Linked DNA regions of Lytechinus pictus. The protein of the gene in region 2 purifies or fractionates together with the protein of the main gene of each other region. This does not show direct contact. Links are inferred from orthologs where the notes say so. Each region holds a gene or a part of one and is shown on either strand. Other genes may lie near its edges.

The links.
Region 1: the proteins of brefeldin A-inhibited guanine nucleotide-exchange protein 3-like (region 2) and prohibitin-2-like purify together in Homo sapiens (affinity purification with western blotting; 4 studies listed by BioGRID). This does not show direct contact. The link is inferred for Lytechinus pictus from reciprocal best matches to the Homo sapiens genes ARFGEF3 and PHB2.

What each region holds. Positions count from the first base shown.
Region 1 is NC_087258.1:12,808,180-12,818,786, forward strand, and holds the start of prohibitin-2-like, read right to left. Parts: upstream 5,048-10,607; 5' UTR 4,836-5,047; coding exon 4,709-4,835; intron 361-4,708; coding exon 199-360; intron 1-198. Other genes in the region: ubiquitin carboxyl-terminal hydrolase 5-like, read right to left, coding at 9,522-9,609, 10,277-10,361.
Region 2 is NC_087248.1:3,904,585-3,915,927, forward strand, and holds the start of brefeldin A-inhibited guanine nucleotide-exchange protein 3-like, read right to left. Parts: upstream 5,162-11,343; 5' UTR 5,058-5,161; intron 1,479-5,057; 5' UTR 1,378-1,478; coding exon 1,293-1,377; intron 1-1,292. Other genes in the region: uncharacterized protein LOC129259162, read left to right, coding at 8,589-8,610, 9,834-10,045. UniProt on the Homo sapiens protein: Participates in the regulation of systemic glucose homeostasis, where it negatively regulates insulin granule biogenesis in pancreatic islet beta cells. Also regulates glucagon granule production in pancreatic alpha cells.

The DNA.
Region 1 (10,607 bases), on a different chromosome or scaffold from region 2:
CCGCACAAAGGCCGTTGGCACACAGAGCGCGTCGCCTTCCCGCGGAAAGGCCGTTATCGTGCAGTGAACAGTGCGCGCTAACGGCCTTTGTGCGGGAGGGCGACGCGCAGTCTGCGCTAGCGGCCCTTTCGCGGGAAGGCAATGCGCAGTCCGCGCTAACAGCCCTTTCGCGGGAAGGCGACGATTAGGAGCTCTTACCTTTGCTTCCGGTGGGTGATGATATCCTCCTTGGCTTAGCTCTGATGTCATAGATAATTGGCCATTGCAACCATGGAATTCTCAAATGAAGCCCTTCAGCGTATATTCTATCCTGTACACCCCCAATCCTGCTGAATATCACTGATCTGTGACCACCATCCACTACAGAATACAAAAAAATATATATATCAGAGTCCATTCAAATTATGGTTATTTTCAGGTCAATAAAACCATGACTCTCAATACCGTAATTGCCATCTGTCCATCTTTTAATGGGATATCCTTCTTTTCTTTTAGACAATCCAAATTTTTGGACCAGCACCTCTCAGTCTCACTCAGTCATGGCTGTCTGAGCTGCATCTGGGCACAATATAGACAAAAATCAGTCTATTTTGGTCAGGATATGCTATGCTGAGACTTTGTCTGGCATTGCGGCATCCTCTCCTTCCAAAGATCTAGACTGAAGTGCATTGCAGTGGCAGACATCATGCAATTATACACTAACACTGGCGCACATATCGCTACTTCTTTTCTACATACATGTAGATCTATATTTTATCTAGAGATCTGCATTAAAAACATGACAATGATCAACGAACCTGACATCAGCTCCCTGGAATAAACAAGTGGAATGCCTCTGGCCGTCTCACCTGCATCACGCGATTCAATATAGCAGCAGTGCTGATTTTGAAAACTACTATAACTCGCACAAGATGTTCAGTGATACTTGGTTACTCGTATTTCCACGTTTTATGAACTAGACCAATACACTTATGGAGATATGATGGCAATTCAACAAATACCCCCGACGTGGCCAAAGTTCTTTGACCTTACATGACCTTTGACCTTGATCATGTGACCTGAAACTTGCACAGGATGTTCAGTAATACTTGATTACTATTATGTCCAAGTTTCATGAATCAGATCCATAAACTTTCAAAGTTATGATGGTAATTCAACAGATACCCCCAATTCGGCCAAAGTTCATTGACCCTAAATGACCTTTGACCTTGGTCATGTGACGTGAAACTCATGCAGGATGTTCAGTGATACTTGATTAACCTTATGTATAAGTTTCATGAACTAGGTCCATATATTTTCTAAGTTATGATGACATTTCAAAAATTTAACCTTAGGTTAAGATTTTGATGTTGATTCCCCCAACATGGTCTAAGTTCATTGACCCTAAATGACCTTTGACCTTGGTCATGTGACATGAAACTCAGGCAGGATGTTCAGTAATACTTGATTAACCTTATGGCCAAGTTTCATGAACTAGGTCCATATACTTTCTAAGTTATGCTGTCATTTCAAAAACTTAACCTCAGGTTAAGATTTGGTGTTGACGCCGCCGCCGCCGTCGGAAAAGCGGCGCCTATAGTCTCACTCTGCTATGCAGGTGAGACAAAAATGTTGATTTTACATCACATATTTCGAGAAACCTGTAAGCTGATTGTTCTTAAATTTAAATAACATGTTTAATTTTTATATCGGCGCTTTTTTTCTCCCAGCCCCCAGGCACTAAAAGCAAGATTTTTTTAGAGAAATCACAGAGGGTGAGGTAGCGTACCCTTTTCCCGACATAGTTAAGCGTCAAGCGAACCTATGGGAGTCTTCTGTCTTTGTCATGTTGGACTTGGGAGGACTGAAAAAATCAGAAAATGTTAAGAAAAATTCCTCCGAAACAGCAGATATTTAAGTAATGTCAGTCTACACCACAGCCAGGTCTAGATGATATCCACAAGACTGAAAAATCTAACTTGATCTATGCTGCATGCAAGTGGCCTGCACTGGCCATCTGCCTGTGTGTGGCAGGCTATGTAGGATTGGAGCAGATTCTCAATGGTACAAACAATCTCACATGATAAACAGTTTTCCACCAAAAATAATCACAAAATCGTTGGGAAATTTTTACAATTATATTATGGCTTCTCAGATTACTGATTTGGTGATGTAATCAGAGGAGCAAGTTATTGAGTTTTCAGATCTTGTTGTTTCAGCTTTCGTTTTGAGTCTTGTTGTGATCGGTGCAAACTTGTAATGGGATGAGAGATGGCTGTGTGTGTGATGCCGCGATTGTTTCATCTCATTAAGTTTGACAATGTTACACTTTGAAATTTTATTCATTTCTAAAACATTTTAGTTTTCAAACAATTTTTAAATTTTTTTTTTTTTGCTTTGGTTGAAGTTTGAACTTTTTTCCTTTCTCTTTTTTTTTTTTTTTTTGTATCCTTAATTTTTTCTTCATCCTTCTATCCTTCCTGCTTGCCTATTTTGTTCAATCTATCTTTATTTCCAATCTTTCCTAGCAGCTAGCTTTTTATCCTAATAATTTCTCTATTATCTATATGTTCATTTTTCCTTCTTTTTTGAATTTCCTTTATTTAATTTCCTTCTTTCTTTTCTTAAACTTTTCTTTGCTTCCTTCTCACTTCCACTCCTTTTTCTTTTCATTTATTCTCTCCTTCCATTTTTTTTTCATTCTCTCCTCCCTTCATACTTTCATCCTTTTTAACCTTCAATTCTTTTCCCTCATCTTTCTTTTCCTTCGGCTCCTTTCCTGTTTGTCTTTTTTCTTTGTTTCTTTCAAAGAATGAAGTAAACGTTTTACTTTACTCATTTCTTCCTCCTTTTTTTCTTAGGCCTACTTTCTTTTTCCTTCATCAGTAGAGGTGCACGGCCAATATGGGAGACTGTCTCCCATGAGAGAGATTATCTCCAATATCAGAGACTTTTGTAAAGAATTTGGGTATCCAAAAGACCAATTTCAGAGACAGTCTCCAGTTTGGGAGACCAACTTTCTTTGTTTACATTTGCTGCAAAAGGGTTAGCTTGGCGGCAAATAAAACTGTGATGAGCAGATTCCTCATGAAAAATTACCCCTTTTCACCGTCTACTTTGAAAATTCAACATCTACTTTTGTTTTGGTAAGGATTTTTGTTGTCATCCACACACAAAACAAATGGGCTTCTGACCTCAGTGAGGCAAAATTTTGGGTGGAAAAAATTCCACTTTTGTTAATGTTGTTTCTTTTGTTCGTTTGCAAAGCAAGTCTCCAATTTGGGAGATTGATGGCATCACGGTCACGGCCTGCGCTGAGAGGCGCTAGGGCCTAGGGCTAGGCTGAGGCTCATCTCGGGGGGGGGGGGGGGGGGGGGTGAGGGTAGCCAGGACTCCCAAGAGGCTCCTAATGTTTTTTAGAGAGTAAAAATCATTCACTAATGTGTGCTTACTCTTCACGCACGGAGCCAGGGATTACGCCCCATTCATGTGCGTGTAATGGAGAGTCTCCCAAGTCCCATTGGCAGAGCGCCTAGTACTGTTCATGTCCCGGGGGGGGGGGGCCACTTCCATTGACGAGTGGATACCATGCGCAACCACATGGGGTCTCGAAAAGCACCCTAAACACGTAATTTCCATATTCTGAAAATGCACCCGTTAACAAGTATTGGCGTGTGAAACCCTACCCTTAACAAGTATTGGAAACAAAACGATACTCTTGGCAAGTATTCCCTGAATTGAACCCCTAGGCCCTAAACAAGTATAGCGATATTTAAATTATATGCCACGGACCTTTACCTATACATCATTGGGTTTAGTACAGCCCGGCCACCTCCTCACACCTCGTGCAAATCGTACTCTATAAACACATAGTGATGACTCCTTAATTTTGTTTTATCATCCCCGCAAATTTGACCCTAAACTGGGTCAAATTTGCGGGGATGATAAAACAAAATTAAAATGTTTTATAAAGGATGTCCTTTTTGCCCCAACACTACGTGTTTAGAGTCCGATTTGCACGAGGTGTGGAAGCTAGGGGTCGTACCCCGGGGGGGCCACTTACATCGACGAGTGGATACCATGCGCGACCAAAAAAACACGTAAACACGTAACTTTCCTAGCGAAATAGATACCCTTTTTTCATTATTTTAGTGTTTTTGACACCCTTATCACGTTACGTACGTAACGTGCCCTATCTTGAAAAAGACATCCTTTTCACGTTTTTTTGGTCGCGCATGGTATCCACTCGTCAATGTAAGTGCCCCCCCCCCCCCCCCGGGTTCATGTCCTTGGCTTTCTCTCCTTTTTTTTTTCTTTCAGTTTCACACATTCAAATACATGTATACATTCATTCATCTTGATCTTCCCTTCTTTTCTTTTTCTTTTTCTTTTTTATTCATTTCAAAGAATGACGGAAACCTTTTTCTTTCTTTTATTCTTTCATCTTTCTTTGTTTTATTCTAAAATTAAAATCTAAGTCTAACTTTCTTTTTTTTTATTTATTTTTCCCCCTTCATTTTCTTTCTTTTCCTCTCTGACTCTGTTGATCCACGCGTGCATCGTGCTTTATCGATTGCGCCGTATTTCATTTCGTAAAATCTGGTCACCCTGCATCAATATGATTGAAAGAATGTTGACTTGAAACAAGTCGAATCTAGAGTGCGAAACCAGTTTTAGACCCTAATTTAAAAAAAAAATTGAAAATAAAAATCGTGCACCGTCGATTCACCTGTGTAAACTGATTCCTTCACTCCATAACCTATTACTCCTGCCCCAATGAGGAATTGAACTCCTTTTCCAAGTCCTGCGGGTCCTTTAGCTAATCTTCCAAGCAAATCTCCAATTTTCTGGGCCATCTTTGCTGACCTTCGGTGACGCCGATGCACTGTGCTACTAGTGACTAGTCGCTGTAATTCAGTAATGCAGTCCCACCCGCTATGTTTTGTGTTGTGTTACGATATTACTGGCATAACACACACATGGCTTTATTCATAGTCACGTAACCGCTCATAGTAATTCACGCATGCGCAATCTGGTAGGTAGACTTTATTTGCAAACTTTTTTCGATGTGTAAGAAAGAAATTAATTTCAAACACATACAAAAAGTAAAATAAGAGAAGCTACGGGAAAAAAACATGTAAATATAATTTCAATATTTCAGTAAATCTTATCAATGTAACTTTGATTGTATGGTTATCTTGTATCAATAATTCATTCACCCCAAAATTAGAAATTGGTATTACAAAATAGACTGTTACATAGATTGGCTGTGTATACTCCGCGTTTGCTTCTTTATATTTCATCATACCCCCTTCTTTTTCATCATTGCATAGGCCAAGACATGGAACCTACCCCTACCGGGGGTTACACTTTTCATTATATATAATATGTTTGATCGCTTCATGCCCGCCATCGAAACTGACTCCAGACAGACGATATAATAAGTTTTTCAGACGAGTAATAATAATTTTCACTTAAAAATTTTGAAATAACAAATTATATAACTTTAATTGTTGGGTCGATCTGCAGTCAGTACAGACTCAGACATTATCAAGCCTACTTATTAATCAGAGTTTCAGACTTGCGTTTTTGTTTGGCATATCTACCGTAGTCTATCTGATAATAGAAATGCTAGGATAACTTTATAGAGCCAATAGCTGGAAGAAAGAAAAAAACAATTAACTAACTCATTAATAAGATATAGAAAGTTCATATAAACATTTTTTTTTCTTTTCTCATCCGAGTATTTTTCCATCCCATCCCCTTCCTTCTCCTCTCTGCACCCATCCTCGTACTTCAACACTACCTCTCTATTTCTCTGCCTCTATCTCTCTCACTCTGTCTCTATCCCTCCCTCCTTGTCCCTGACCCTCTCCCCTGCCCCCCCCCCCCCTCCCTCCCATATCCCCCCTCCTCTTTCCCCTCACCTCTCTATATTTCTCTTAAAAAATATTTCACTCTTCCAATAGACCAGTTCGTAGTTACTTCACCATGGACAATTTTGGTCAAATGACCTTTCATTTCTTTCATTATGATAGGCAGATTTCAAAGCAAGATATTACGTAAGCTTGCCTTACATAGCAGGATGAAGAAATTGAACAGACCAGGTGACTAGAATAGCAGACCAATGAACACTTTATGAAGGTATTTGTTGCATTCCTACTTGAATGCAAATCATAGCATGTTGCACAATGTACTTGGCAAACTGAAATACCAGTCGTTCGTGGACGCATTGTTGTTTTTTGTGGATGTAAATGAAAAAAAAACAATTCAAAAGAATATATGAATAATCAAGACATCAAAGTTGGTGCTTATCTCATTAGATTTTAAACCACAATGTCACTTTAATTAGTACAAATGACCTTCCTCTGATCATGCATAGAATCTTTTGATCATGCGCAGAAAGGAACTACGAACTGGCTTATTCTTGCCTCTCTCACCTCTTTCCCAGTATAACTAGTTGCTTAGAAATCAAATACACAAGGAGATTTAAAACATGACGTGTACTGCATTTAATGCATGAAAATTAGAAATATACAAAATCCAAGCAACAATATTCCCAATGTATTCCACATACACATACATGTAACAATTTAATAAAACATTTGTTTGTATACATATCCTCTAACATACACATTGCAATCTTGTTAAATATTGTTGTTTGAAATACCCAATGAAACAACTTCTTTAATATGTTCATCCGGTGTGTCGGCTCGGTTGGTAGAGCGTCCGTCTCACAACCGGTAGGTTGGGGTTCAAACTCCGGCCGCGTCAGACCAAAAGACGTTAAAAGATGGGAGTTGCTGCTATCCTGTTTGGCGTTAAATGATTAAAGGGATAGAGCCTCGTCGATCTGGCGCTGCCCAGTGGCTGCCGGGCCCACGATCGATTGGGCAAAGCAAATTTTCGGAGTATTTCATTTCATGTCTATTTCGAACAATAAACGATTGATTTTTATCATTTTTTTTTCATCATCAGCTAGGTCTACAATACAATTTTCTCCATGCTTTCTGGGAAAATCTACAAGAGAAAAACATTCAAATTATTCAGGGAGAAATATTCTTGTCATTTTGGCTTGTGAAAATAGAAAAAGTACATATTCAGCCCCTTTCACAATTGGTGGTGCGACTGCTTATAACCGTTGCTATTCTGTGCAACATATATTGTGACCATTGCACAAGCAATTGTGAAAGCCCTTTTAGTGATAGATGGACATCTCTCAAAACAATCACTTTTCTGGTTTATGCCTGTATGGTAAATTTTATTTTGTTTAAATGGAAAGGTCTGTTCAAATATCAAGATGAAGAAACAAAATCAGCTGTGAGTGGAAAATTCCTTCGTCAATAATCAAGACATGCTAAACTTATTTTCATTATCTTTGGACATTTCTAACTGCCTGGAAGAAACATTGGCGTCGTCATCATCATCTGACATCAGAATCACCATCATCATTCATCACCATTATCATTACTAAAAGGAGCATGTAGACTGTCAAAAATCGTTCAGCAAACATCATCACCCCAGAGCAACTGTTTGATCAAAAGAAGACATTACTGACAGCAACACTGGTCTTCTTGAGATGGACTAAAATCAATCACAATTTATCATGGACAGAGAGTAAGTGTGACTTATACGGGGGGCACTTTGTAACCAACTAGGAGTTCTTAAATTGACAAAATTTGTTGCAAAATACCTACCAACAAAATATTATCTGTAATCTTCTTCATTAGACATCTTGGATACATCCCTTCGACTACTAGTATATGAATCAGATAACCTTGCATAAGTTAACCTTCTTGGCGTCAAATATTTGCCCAATTTAAAACAATTTTTTTTACCACATTATATGTGCAAAATATGTATCAAATACCGATTCTTAGCAAATTTCTCCAAAGTTGAACAGATTTTTGAGCTCTCAAAAGTTTTGATTGACTAAAGCAAAATTACTCGTACATGTATTAGATACAGTTGTGCCTAAAGGTTAGTGAACCCCACCACAAAATGCACTCCTTCATGCTGAGTGTTGAATGTAGGCAACAACACTACAACGTTCAGCAAGCCCAGAGAAACAAATTTTGATTGAATGTAATATTTCATCACTTGACTTCACAATAAAATATCTGAAACATGGTAAACTTGAACACTTTCAATATGTTCATTTTCTACTAGGGTTCACTAACTTTTGAGCACCAATGTATATCTTCCCCTATTTACTACAGTTACCTATTATTTTAAATTGCTCACTAGAGGGCTTTGTCAGTTTTTAACAATCATACTGTTGCATGAATTATACCTCCACACATCCTGTGAGGGAAGGGCAGCTCTTTTAAATACTTTCAGTTGACGTTGTTCATCTCAAAGAGTATTATTTGTTCCTCATTTGTAAATAGAACATTGTTTTTTATATGTATATATTCAGTTCAAAGTCATTTTTTTCTCATAAATATTTCATATTGATCACAAAGTTATACAACTCTCACATTTTCAATAATATATCTCTTCTTCTGAAGAGGTATATTAATATTATTTCAGTTGCAAATTCACATTTGATAGATCAATCATAACCAAAGCAAATTAATTCATTTTGTTTATGCAAGATGCAGACCACCAATCAATTGCCAATTTGCAATTAATTAAAAGACAACTGATCGATTTTAGGACCTATAATTGACATGCAATCATTTGCAAGTTTCTTCCAACACCCTAGAAGTTGCATTTCTACAAAATTGAACAAATTTCCATCATCCCAAAAGATATTTCACTTTTTCTTTCATGTTTACTTCAGGGCCAAATTCCATGCATGAACACTCATCCTATTAAACCCTCGTTCAGATATGATGCAAGAATGCGCAGCAATGTTTTCCATTGTGCTAAAATATTTTGAAACTGCATACTTAATGGTACATGTAAAACATGACGCCAGTGGAGGCGCCATCATGTGTCGTGGATCTGGCGATACGTCAGGCAATACATGATAATACATTGACATCAGTGTATTCTGAAAGAAGCATGTTTTTTTTCTCACAGGATATCTAATTTTCATCCATTGCATCTTTTTGCTACTTGAGGTGGTGATTCATGAAGATGTTCTTATAAAATTTATGCACGATTTTACAAAGGACTAGAACATGTTCTCAGGTACTAAGTCAGCTCCATTTAGTACAAGGAAGGGTCATCCATCATGTGTAAAGTCATTCGTAAGTTACAAACTGCTTTATGAAACACCCATCTGAGCAGTTTATTTTGAATCTCACGTAGCTAAAATTTCTTCCTAGTCGAAGCTATTTCTGTAAGTAATATTGATTTGTGTTAGGCATAGTTTACTGTTTGTTCTCCGTCAGTCCATGAATATGGTCTACCCTGACTTGTTTTACTGATCACAATGCGCCTCTGAGCTCTGGGCCTGTGACATAAAGCTTTACAACTGATTATGAGGCTGATTTTTTTACGATTGCTCATACACAGAAGTCAATGCAATCGATCATAGAAATCGTTCACATGATCAATCGCTAAGGTTCATGTTACACGGCCCTGGGAGATTTTTAAAGCCTCTTGTAGACGTAGATGTATCCCAGGTCCTTCGGTGGTTTTTCTGATTGCGCAACTTTGTCATCGTTGAAGATCACCCATCTGGAAAATAGAAAAGAAAATTAAGGAATTACGTGATATAAAGAAAATGGTTCCATTATTTCAAAAGCATAGAAATGTGAAATGGAGACGTGCTTATGGGGGCATCTCATCCATGTAACATAGTTGAGCTAAATGACAGCTTGCTCTTATGACACTGTGTAACACATTATATGTTTGCCCGATTTTATGCATATCGCTATCTCCTAAAATAATGCAAAATTATATAATACCATAACTTTGATATCACACATTTGATTTCAATGTTTTCATCTTCAGCTTTCTCTATATATTTTTCTGAATTCAGGTAAAATACACATAAGACAGCAAATCAACATAAAAGAGAACACCAAATGAACATAAAGTTTTTTAAACAAATGAAAAAATGGAAATACAAAACAAGTAAAGATTGAAATGAATAGGACATAGTTTTTTTTAAATATCTTTAAAAAATTGGCAACTTAGCTACCTTAATTCTCTGCTTTTATGTACAGTATCTTGCTTTGGTCAATCATAATGAAGATAGAGAAAAGTGTGACTCTTTATTGTACCAACATCCGTGAATATGAAATAAGGATGCTATAATAATCAATTTGAACATAATTTTCATCAGCAAACTCTCTACACATTTTGTTTTGTCATGGAAAAATGATTAGAAGGACTACCTTACCTTCCTTCTTTCTTGATATGGCATACATAGTGACCGCATGCTGTAGATGTACCCATGTGACTTACAAATGCAAACAGCTGGTATTCTGTCATATAAAAAAAGAACAATGCAATAGATTTTCCCACCTCCAAACTGAACTGATATATCATGCAACCGTGATAAGCTGCCATAACTATCCCCCTTTAGAGTATAGAACACTGGAAAATAGAAAGGAATATTAATTTCTGAAGTGGAAATAAGACATTTCTTCCTCCTCTGCTTTTTTTATAACTCCCTTTATCCTCCCCCTCCTCTCCTGTACAATTTTCCTTTCCCTTTCCCTTTCCCTCTT
Region 2 (11,343 bases):
TATAATTAACAAACATTCACATATACATGTACTTCGAAATTTTACAAGTACATGTTTCAATAAAAAATTACACTTCAAATGTATTTTGTGCAGTTACAAGAAATGTATGTACCAGAAGAAATATATGAATCCATGATTGCATAATTTGACATGTACTTTGCTTTTATCATCAAGATTGTAGATTCACAAGTGAATGTAAATGGTATTGGTTAATTTCACACCTTTTTATTTTCAGCAATAGGACTTCTTTGGGGTTAGTTGTGCAGTTAACAACATAATTATTCACACCCCTGGGAAAGTTATGTGTTTTCCTGTAAAACTAAAAACTAAACCAAAATTACTTGTACAGTACATCTGTTCGTGCAGAATAACTGGATTAGAACTCCTCCTGGTTTGCATGTATAGCAAATCCCACTCAGAAAAGTCAAAAGAGCAAGACAAACTTCATGAACACATTGACCTTTCCAATGTAATGTTTACCATTTGAAACAAAACACATCTGTAAATATTAGGACCTAGACCTCACAGGAAGTGCAAGTATGCTGGAAAGAAGTACAGCACAGACTTGTCCAATAAGTACAGTTCACTATGCACATGTATAGATATCATGTACTTTTTGCTGTTCAACCAGACTCCACGTACATGTATTTTAAAAGTCACATATTGAGATGATGGACACTGGATAATTAATGACAATTGGAATGAAGTTTCCCCTTTTTCATGCTTGTTTTTAAAGATTACAATACTGTGTCCCATGGAATAAGATTTACAAGAAATTGATTTGAGAGAATTAATATAAATAAATAAAGATTTTTTCATGACTAATGACTTAATTACATGACTGTGAAATGAAATCTCCCAAAATGCATTGATTACTTGTACATGTATTCCATTGTAAGATTAAAGTGCATGTCTTTCAAATAAAAGGTGCCTTTTAAGAAAAACAAAAACTACATACATGACCAGGGGCTTGTATCACAAAGCTTAGCAATGATCGTAGAATATTTTTCTACGACTGATTCCATTGACTACAATGTACAATCAATCATGAAAATCAAGCTTACAATTAATCTCTAACCTTTGTGTTACATGACCAGGATATACATGTATGAAGCACTAATTGATAGTCAAATGTATCTTCTTTGAAGGTTTTAATTGATTTTAAAATATGATTGAAAAGCACACTTGGCTCTTTGTAGCCAGACATTCATAGGCAAAAAAAAATTAATGAATAACAATGTATACAAATAATATTGAGAATACTTATCAATGTATCTAGGACAATGCTATACCTTGTGCTTGGCTGACGGCCTCTCGTATAGCTGCATGCTTGTTTGATGTTGCCTCCTTAAGGATCTGTCCAAACAACCCCTCCATGATCAGGTCAGTGAGGTCGGGTCAGGTCAGGTCAACAGATCTTTGGGTACTTGAGGACAGACTACTGGTAACTCATTTCATTATCGTCTTTCCAAGGAAAGCTTCAGAATGTACAAAAGCAGAATTATGCAAGACTTAGTAAGATTTCAGGACTACCAAAATTATTTTAGAACTGCAACTGAAGAGCATTGTACAAATTGCAGTTTGACACTCATAATGAACTTCCTCAAAATATTAAAGCAAAATTAAAGTATTAAAGCAAAACATTTTGCAAGTTTGCAGTAAATAATGACAAATATGGCATGTCTTTACACTTTAAAAGGGATGGTCCGGGCTGAAAATATTTATATCTACATGTAAATAAATAAAGTAAAATTCACAGAGCAAAATGCTGAAAATTTCTTCAAAATCTACATGTAAATAAATACCGGTAGAGTAAAATTCAGAGCAAAATGCTGAAAATTTCATCAAAATCAGATAAAAAATAACGTAGTTCTTGAATTTTAAAGTTTATCAATATTTTGTGAAAACAGTTATATGCACATCGTCATGAATATTCATTAGGTGGGCTGATGATGTCACATCCCCACTTTCCCTTTTTTATATGTTATTACATGAAATCATAAATGTTTCATTTTTTCATAATGTGTAAATGATGTGTTCCATTATGATGAAATAAGTTGGGGCAATAAATAACTAATGCACTTAATCAGTTGTCAATCCAATTAGGCTTTTTTTTTGGGGGGTAGATTTTTTTAAATAAACTTAATATAAAATACAAAAGAACAAGTGGGGATATGACATCATCAGCACACCTAATGAATATTCATAAAGACATACCTAGAACTGTTTCACCGGAATAATGCAACTCTTTAAAATTCAATAACTTTTATATTTGTTATCCGATTTTGATCAAATTTTAAGCATTTTGCTCTGTAAATTTTACTCTTATTTATTGAGATATGAATATATCCAGACTGGACCATCCCTTTAAAAGACAAATCCAAAAGGATAAAAATCAGAGGCATAACACTGAATATTTCATCAAAATTGGATGAAAAATAAGAAATTTATGACATCATTGTAAAGTTTTTATTAATTTCACCAAACAGTTATGCACATCTTGGTCGGTACGCAAATGGGGGGACTGATGACATCACCAACTACATGTATATCATCATATGAAAAATTATATTTTTAATTTTCTCCCAATTGTCATGTCAAACAAAGATGTCCTTGATAAACATGTAGAATTACCTTTGTTTTAATATTTTGTAGTTCATTTAAGTTGGTCCTTATTGTCAAATCTGTAAAAATTGTAATATTATATACCACAATAAAAAAAAATAGTAAGGGACATCATCGACTCTGTCGTTTGCATCGCATTGAGTTGTGTATACAATGCAACTGTTTGGTGAAAAATAATCATAGCCTAATTTTAAGATATCATAACTTTCTCATTTTCATCCGATTTTTATGAAATTTTCAGCGTTATGCTCGTTTGAGTTTTCTCTATTGATTCAAATCAACATTTTTCTGGGGTGATTTGACTTTTTATTTGAAGGTTTTATATTTCCAATCTGTAGAAATTTTATACCTCTGCTACCATGCTACGCTCTATGTTGCCAATTTTAGGATTATTGGGCACATTAGATAGCCGTAAAATACTTAATAATCACAAAGAAAAATAAACTTGGTCAAAAAGTAGATCTGTGTAGATGGCAATTCCAAGCAAAGTGAATATTTTCCAAAATCTTATTGGCTCTGTTTATTTAAAGTTATGATAAAAATTTTGGAATTAGAACTCGCTCCTGTGTATTTTCAATGCTGGACACATGTACATGTATGTACTTGCATACTGCTTTTGAAATTTGATGTATCAAGCTCTGATAGAAACACAGTATGTACAGTGTAAGCTAAAAATTAAGTCTTAAACAATACAAATAGATAAACTGGAAATATAATACTAAGCATTAAAAATGTTTAATTTCCTTATGTTTAAAGACAAAGTATCATCACAATTTCCATCACTAGATTCATGATATATATCATCATCATAATCACCATTCACAATCTATCATCATCATCATCATCAGGGCAATTCCAAGCAAAACTGGACATTTTCCAAAAATTTATATTGGCTCTATTTTAAATCTGGAGCAAACTTTTCTATTAAAACTCATATGGGATTTCATAAATACAGAAGGGGAACATAATTAGCCACAATTTTTTTTTCTTATGCATCTCCTTATAGGAGAATCCAAAGTCCAAACCATACAAAAAAATTCTATACATGGGACTACATATATTGTTTTTTACTTAATTTCAATTTAACAGAAAACTATTGCTTGTTTTGTAAAATTTTCTTTTCGATAATCTGAAGGTAATCATTTTTACATCATATCAAAAGAAAATTTCTAAATATAAGTTCATTTTACGTTGCCTGTGTGTGAATATTTCAGATGTCACTCCGTAACCGGGTATGGGGTTTATGTTTTAAGTTGTAATTAATGAAAAAATACACAAATTTTTTAATGTAATGCAGCATATTAAAGCTAGAACATAGAATCCAATCAATAACTCAACATTGTGATAGCCATTTAAAGTTCACAGCGTTTGATCAATATATTTTTCTCCTCAAATATGCATGTCCATTTTCCGTCACTCCGTAACCATGATTATGAATATTCATATCTCATTTAATTCAGTGGATCAAAATATGTTATTATTTTGAAAAGTGGGTTTCAGCAACTACTGTCAGGTACCATTTCTTTGCAAATAAATATTTAAATATGGGTGATATCTTTGTTTGAATGCTAAAAACTTGTTTCTGAATGTCACTCCGTAACCCTGGAACTGCCCATCATCATCATCACAACCATCACCATCATCTTCATTATCATAATTTCCATCATATTCATCACCATTTATAAGGATTACTGCCACCAACCATCATCATCATTCATCTCCAGCATATTCATAGTCATTATCAACATGTTAAAAATTGTTATATATCATCAATCATCATCATCATCATCACCACCATCACCACCATCATCACCATATCATCAATTTCATCATCACCATCGTCATCATGATCATCATTAGCATTACCACCATCGTCATCACGTGACCCACCCAAGGGTTCATTACATGCCGCCGCGCACAGAAAAATCAAGCCATAGAAGTCGTGTGTTGTGGACCCAAGAAGTGAGATCCCAGCACGCGCGACCCACTAGTTAGAAATCCACTGCCAAACGCGGTTCGTGGTGCGAGGTTAGTATACTAATACTAACCTCGCAATACGTGTGAGTGCACGTGACCATCATATTCATCATCACCACATAATCATCATTTCCATCATATTCATCACCATTTATATAAGGATTACTGCCATCAACCATTATCATTAAAAAGACATCATCATTGTCTCATCACCAGCACTCACACACGTATTGCGAGGTTAGTATTAGTATACATCACCAGCGCAGCCGCAGGCTAGGCAGAAGAATGGCAGAACTGCCAGAAGGAGACAACACAAATTTACGCATGTGGGACTGAGTTTTCTTGACAATTATTTTGCACTCATGATAAATGCCATAAATTGTCGAACAAACTACAAAATTTAAGTGAGCAATCATACGCATATTAATTCGAATTCCTGAATCGAATAATTTTACCTTTAAGATCAAAATAGCAGCCTTAGCAGCGGTACAATGAACGCATAATCCAACAGCTGTTCACGTTTTCCAGTTTTCCTCAGGCTTGAATCCACGAATTCAATATAGGCGATCTAGCTCGCTCGGATCGCTCGCTTGCTTGGCGCTGAAAATTGCAATGCATGCGAATCCATTATTGTAGTGACACCGGCGTTCATGAAATAGGGCCTATATATGGCCTACTTATAGTAAGAATAACATATATGAATCAGTTTATTCTATATCATCATAATTGAAAAATATACAGCCACATGAATCTCTTTGCACATATAAACACATTTTTATATATTATTTTTTTAGATCAATTTATTTATTTTTAGGGGAGGGGGCAATTTGCATGGGGGCAACAGACCCACGAAACTGTCCCCTTTCACAATAGTGGCTTACAGAAGGGGATATAAAACCTCGCGCACGACCCCTATAAATGAGGGGAGAATGAAAAGGAAACCTCCCATTAAGCTAGGTCCTATAGTGAAGGATTATATAGGCCCCTACTGTCAAAATCTATCACAAAATTAGCACAAAATCATGTTTTTGCTCCCTCGCTCGTGAATTTTTTTCAGTTTTGTCTCAGTAGGGCCTCCACGAGTTTGGGTTTGACCTCCTAAATTTGGCTCATTACCCTACTTCCCACCTCGACCAATTTTTGGTGAGCACTGATACCGTCGATGTGTAAGGAGATCGAGTGAGTATGACCGTTGCAGGGTCGGATCCAGGATTTCCCAAGGAGGGGGGGGGGGGGGTAAATTTTCCCGAGGAAAATTTGACAAGTAAAAAAAATAGAAAAGAAAAAAAGAAGGTTTCACTAAAAACTGAAGATCATTTTGTTCACGTAACAAAAAGGTCTTCAGTTATATTTGTTGTAACTTTGAAAGGGGGAGCACACTTGCGTAAGAACAGCGTATTTACATTAAAAAATAACATTTGACTATGACTCTCAAAGGTGGGAGGGTCAGAGGGGGTCGGGCGTCCGAATCCCTGAAAGCATTATAGTTAAGACCAGGGACGGATCCCTAAAAGGTTTTCATCTAAAAATAAATGTCATTTGATCCGCAAGAAAAAAAAAAAGGTTTTTCACCTAAAATTGAAGGGCTTTTCGTCCAGAATTTGATAACACCCCCCAAAAAAGGGTTCCCCGACTTCCAAATAAGGGGGGGGGGCACACTTGTGTAAAAATGGCGCCCCTGGATCCGCTACTTGTTTAGACCTGCATGGAGTCTGGGTCCAGAATTCTTTTGCATTCTTAAAGGTTAAGTCCATTTCATAAAAGTGTTAATTGATTTGAATCAATAGAGAATAATCAAACAAGCATAGTCATTATGCCGAATTAAATTCAGCCATGAGGATTATGCCATATGAAGTTTCGCTTATTAAAAAAAACCAGTTGTAATATAGGCCTACACCCATAACTTAGTGATGTGAAAATGAGAGAGTCGATGATGGCCTCCCTCCCTATTTTTTATTGTTTGAATTGCACAATTTTGTATTCCTTTTTTCTTTGGCAATAATGACAAACTTGAAAGATCCACAAATTGTTAAAACATTGGTGATTACACATGTTCAGGGACGAATAAAACTTTTGTTTCACATGACAACGAGGAGAATTTGAAATATTTCACATTTCATTCGAAATACAAAAGAAATAGTCAGTTAGCGATGTCATCAATACCGAACTTTAAAACGTCACTTCTTTTACTCCATTTGATACAATTTTCAGTGTTGTACTGGTTGGATTTTCATCTTTCAATTTAAAACAACTTTTGTTAGGGTCCCGTTAGGGTGGACTTGTCATTTAAATAAGTCGCACCTCTAAAGTTTCTCACTGTATAGAGACAAATTGGTCATTGAAAAAATAATAACATGCTAATGTTAAGGCCCATTTCGACCCTGGATAAGCCCCTTTTTAATGACCCTCCCCCGGAGATTGAATGCAGAGTAAAAAAAAAATGGTTTACCAAAAAAAATACTGATAATTAAAAAAATGAAATAAAAAGATCTGATAGGCAAAAGAGGTAGGCCTACTGCCATGACTATATTGCCGACCCACTACCGGATCCGCTACGACCACCCCACCCTCCACCCTCCATCCACTCTTCCTTCCAAACTGAGCAGAGCGGGGAGTTCCCCGAAATAAAAGAGGGAGGAGTTACGTTGCCATGACTGGCACCAGCGTCGTGGACCCAGCCTTTACCGTATATACCCAAGCAAGCTGGAGCGCGAGTCGAAGCCGGCCGACCGGGCGGCGGCTGGCGCGACGCGCACTACGAATTCCGCTGGAGCTTGCAGCGCACAGTACATGACGTCCGGCACAATTAGCTACACCATGTAAGTCGCCCCCAATTTCTACCGAGTTATTAGATAATTCACTATCTTATTTATTTGAATAAACTCGTCAGCGTCACAAGCACATTGTGTTGTGAAATTTTTGAAATTCTAGGCCCCTATAATTAAATAATCTTGACTTTTGAATTGTTTCATGTTTGTCCTGTCGAGCTGTCCTATCATTCCTATCATGCCTATTCTTACTTCTATTGCCTATTTGGATCTATCATTCAACTACTAGTTATTATACAAATATTCAAAGTTGATGAGTGCGATCGTTCCGAATATTGCATGAGTGTGCAAGTTGAAACAGTCTATTCAACGACGCGAAGCGGAGTTGAATAGACTGTTTCAACTTGCAACGAATGTAATATTCGGAACGTCGCACGAATACAACATTGAATATTTGTTTTATACAACACCGATAGCTTACACTTCAGACTAGATAGGCTAGATCCATAGGTCTAGTTTATGACTAACGCGCGTTAGGTCTTTAATTTTGCTTACAATGTTGTTTTTTGGGAGTCAGTAGATTTAAACTAATAATCCCAGGAGAGTCAAGTACTTTCAACATAGATAGATCCATGAGGTCAAATTTGTGAACGAATTCCATAAAATCCAGAAGGAAATCCAGAAGGTACGCAGTCGTACCCTGGGAATAATTTGCTTAGCAACGTACGTACGCGCATTGTGTTCAGCTTAGCAACGTTTATGCGCAGTGCTACGTACATCGGTCAGAGATACGAAAACGTGATTACGCGCGTATACCGCTAATTCACTTAACGTGTACGGGGCATGTCCATGGGTTCAGTGTGCCCAGGGATCTTGCAGTGCTGGCTCATTTTAAATACTTCAGCGTGCTATAGTCGACTATAGCACGAGCGTGCAAAAGTCGACTATAGCACGGCTAGCATATCTTAGCGTGCTATAGCTGATTCGTCTGAATGTCATGTGACACGCTTTCATCCAATCAGCTGTCAAGGATCTATACATGTGTTGTATAAAACACTTTAGATTCATCATATTTATCTTCTTGTGATTGTGCCTTTTGAAGTTTTGTTGATGGTGTTGCCAAGAAGATCATAGACTGAGACTCGAGACTTCATTTCAAAGTCAAAGACAGAAGTCAACATACCCACGCCCACGACACTCTGTCTCTGAAACAAAACAATGGAGGAATTCAATGCTGAAGGTATGTTATGTATTATTTTTTTATATTAGGAGCAGTTTTGTGCCAGTAAATAGTAATCCCCTTGGCTTTATATAGGTCTCTGAGTCTGAGAAATAACTTTTCAATCAAAGCATCTAGAACTGAAGTAGGCCTAGGTAATGCCTGGTTCACTGAAGACAGGCCTACACGAAATCTGAGACAAACGCACCATTATGTTGAGCCGAGGTGCCGTACTAATCGATATAAAAACAGCCCCATTCCATTCACGACAAAATTATTGAATTCTATTTGAACCCTATGTTAATAGAGGATAAACTCAAACCTGATGACTGACGATCGGGATTTGATAATATTGGTAATGTGTTTTTGTTACTCAATTTGAAATTATGAATACATTTTATAATTGTAATAAGTTTACAAAATTTTGATATAATATTTTGTAATTTTATAATGTAATAATTCATTTGTAATAATATTATTTATTCGAAATTGAAAATGCAATGATGTAATACTTCAACATGTAATAATACAAATTTTGCGACTAAAACTTGCCGCTCTTCTATTTTTGTTTACTATGTACAATCCACTGGCATGATGTGAAATGGTAGTTTGTATTTTAATCAGGATTATTTCACCTTGTTTACATGATAGCCTACTCACTTTCAAAACTTTACCTCATATCGGCTTATTTAGTTCACAATAACCACATACCTGTATGCAAATATTATTTTCAGGGTTGAACTTGACATGTTCTAACTTGTTTATCGCTACATATTTCATATGTAAATGTTAAGTTAATCGATTTATTATAATCCTCCTTCTTTTCCATTTTCATTCTCTTCTCTATTATCCCTTTTTTTAATTTGAATTAATTTATCTCACTGTTAAATGTTGCCTTATACTAAGTTTCATTATTAATAGTATGTGAAAGTTTACCATGTAAAAATACTTTTGTAATCCAATGCACAATTTAGTTGTCAAACTACGACGCATGGAGATTCGTACACTTATTGTTTATATGTTTTTGATTCAAATAAACCATCTATCTATGATCTGTTATGTACAATGAGTCGTCAAAATCAAGCATACAATTAATTGCTAACCTTTGTGTTACGGAACCCATGAACTGCGAAGAGTTTTTTTGTCCTAATAAATGGATTTTCTTATTTTAAAACCCCAAATTATAAACTGGGTCTGTACTAATTAACCTCATCACACAAACTTTTTTTTCAAATTTCATGCAGAGGTACCTCCTTTAGAGGACATGAGTGACCTTCTGGAACAAGCTCATCAACTACAGAAAATGAAGGATAAAAAGGGCATGGCTTCATCTTCATCATCATCATCTTCATTTAAATCATCATCAGTCCATGGTTCTCCAAAAGTTGAAGAAAAACCCCAGAGCCAGAGGGTAAAACAGGAAGCTACAAAACAGGAAACAGAGACTGAGGTACATGTACGTATAATTTTTCAGTGTCATGCCATTGGGGTAGTTTGCAGAAGTAAATCTCTTCCTTGTTGGAACACTTAGTGGTGTGAATTATCAGACTTCTGGGGCCCGTTTCTCAACACCGTCATAAGTCTAACTTCTTGACTAAATCGGAGATAGTGAGCTACTTGTCCGCTAACCGTTTCACGAAGCCCTCTTTACCAAGATCGGGTACAACAACCTCACTAAATATTTATGACACCTCCGAACCTGTCATAACTTCTTTCTTAATGACGTAGTGGCATCACGTGGGTAGACTATGACAAGCAAAAGTGCCTAGAGATTTGAAAATAATAGTCTTAGGTAATCAATCATAGAGTATGAAATTACATCACAAAAACGAGTGGAATAATGCATTCAATGATAATTCTAATAAAAACAAACTATAAAAACTGTTTGTAAAACGCCACAAAACCATTCAGTTTGAAATAGTAAAATGATTTGATCGATAAAGATTCTACAACGTCAGGCCATCCATAACTGGACTCGTATTTGTCATTTTCAGACCCCTATTAACATTTGGATAAATTATATCTCTAATTCATGCATAGAATATGTCAATCGTATGTTTCAGTTTCAAAGATTTATTTTTGTTTTTGTTAAACTATATTTTGATGATGTTTGGAATCGTAGAAGGGCGTATAATTATCATCATTTTACAAAGAAAACCGTTATAGTTTACTTTCGTAAACTATCAAAATTCGATGTCCCGGGGGTACCCATCTCAACGTCCACATGTGATTTTCTAGTCATGAAGTGATTTATTCATAATTTAATTTTCTCAGCAATTGAGTGCTCCAATATTCATGGTCTAAGTATGTATGATGCATAATTTGCATGTGCCATTATTTTAAAAAGATGTATTTCCCAATTCATCACAATATTTGCAAATTTGTCATAATTTTTCTTTTTTAATATTATGCTATTTTATGACTAAGGCTACGTCTCGTCTGCTCTTTTTACCGATAGTATCGATATCAAGGTATTCTAGTTAGGAAGCCTTTCGAGAAACAGGTTTAGTAAGATTGGAACTATCTCCGTGGTTGGTGGATAAAGATATGACTAACTTGTCCAGGTGTTGAGAAACGGGCCCCTGGAGGAAAATTGATGTGCTAAACTTCTCTCAAGTTACACTTGTTGATTAACAATCCACTTATGGTCTATGCATGCAGACAACCATCAGGATTCTGAATTCATCAGATTCTTGTGTTTCACACTTGTGCTACCCATGTTCATTATCATGAGAGGCCTATTCTCTTGTAGAT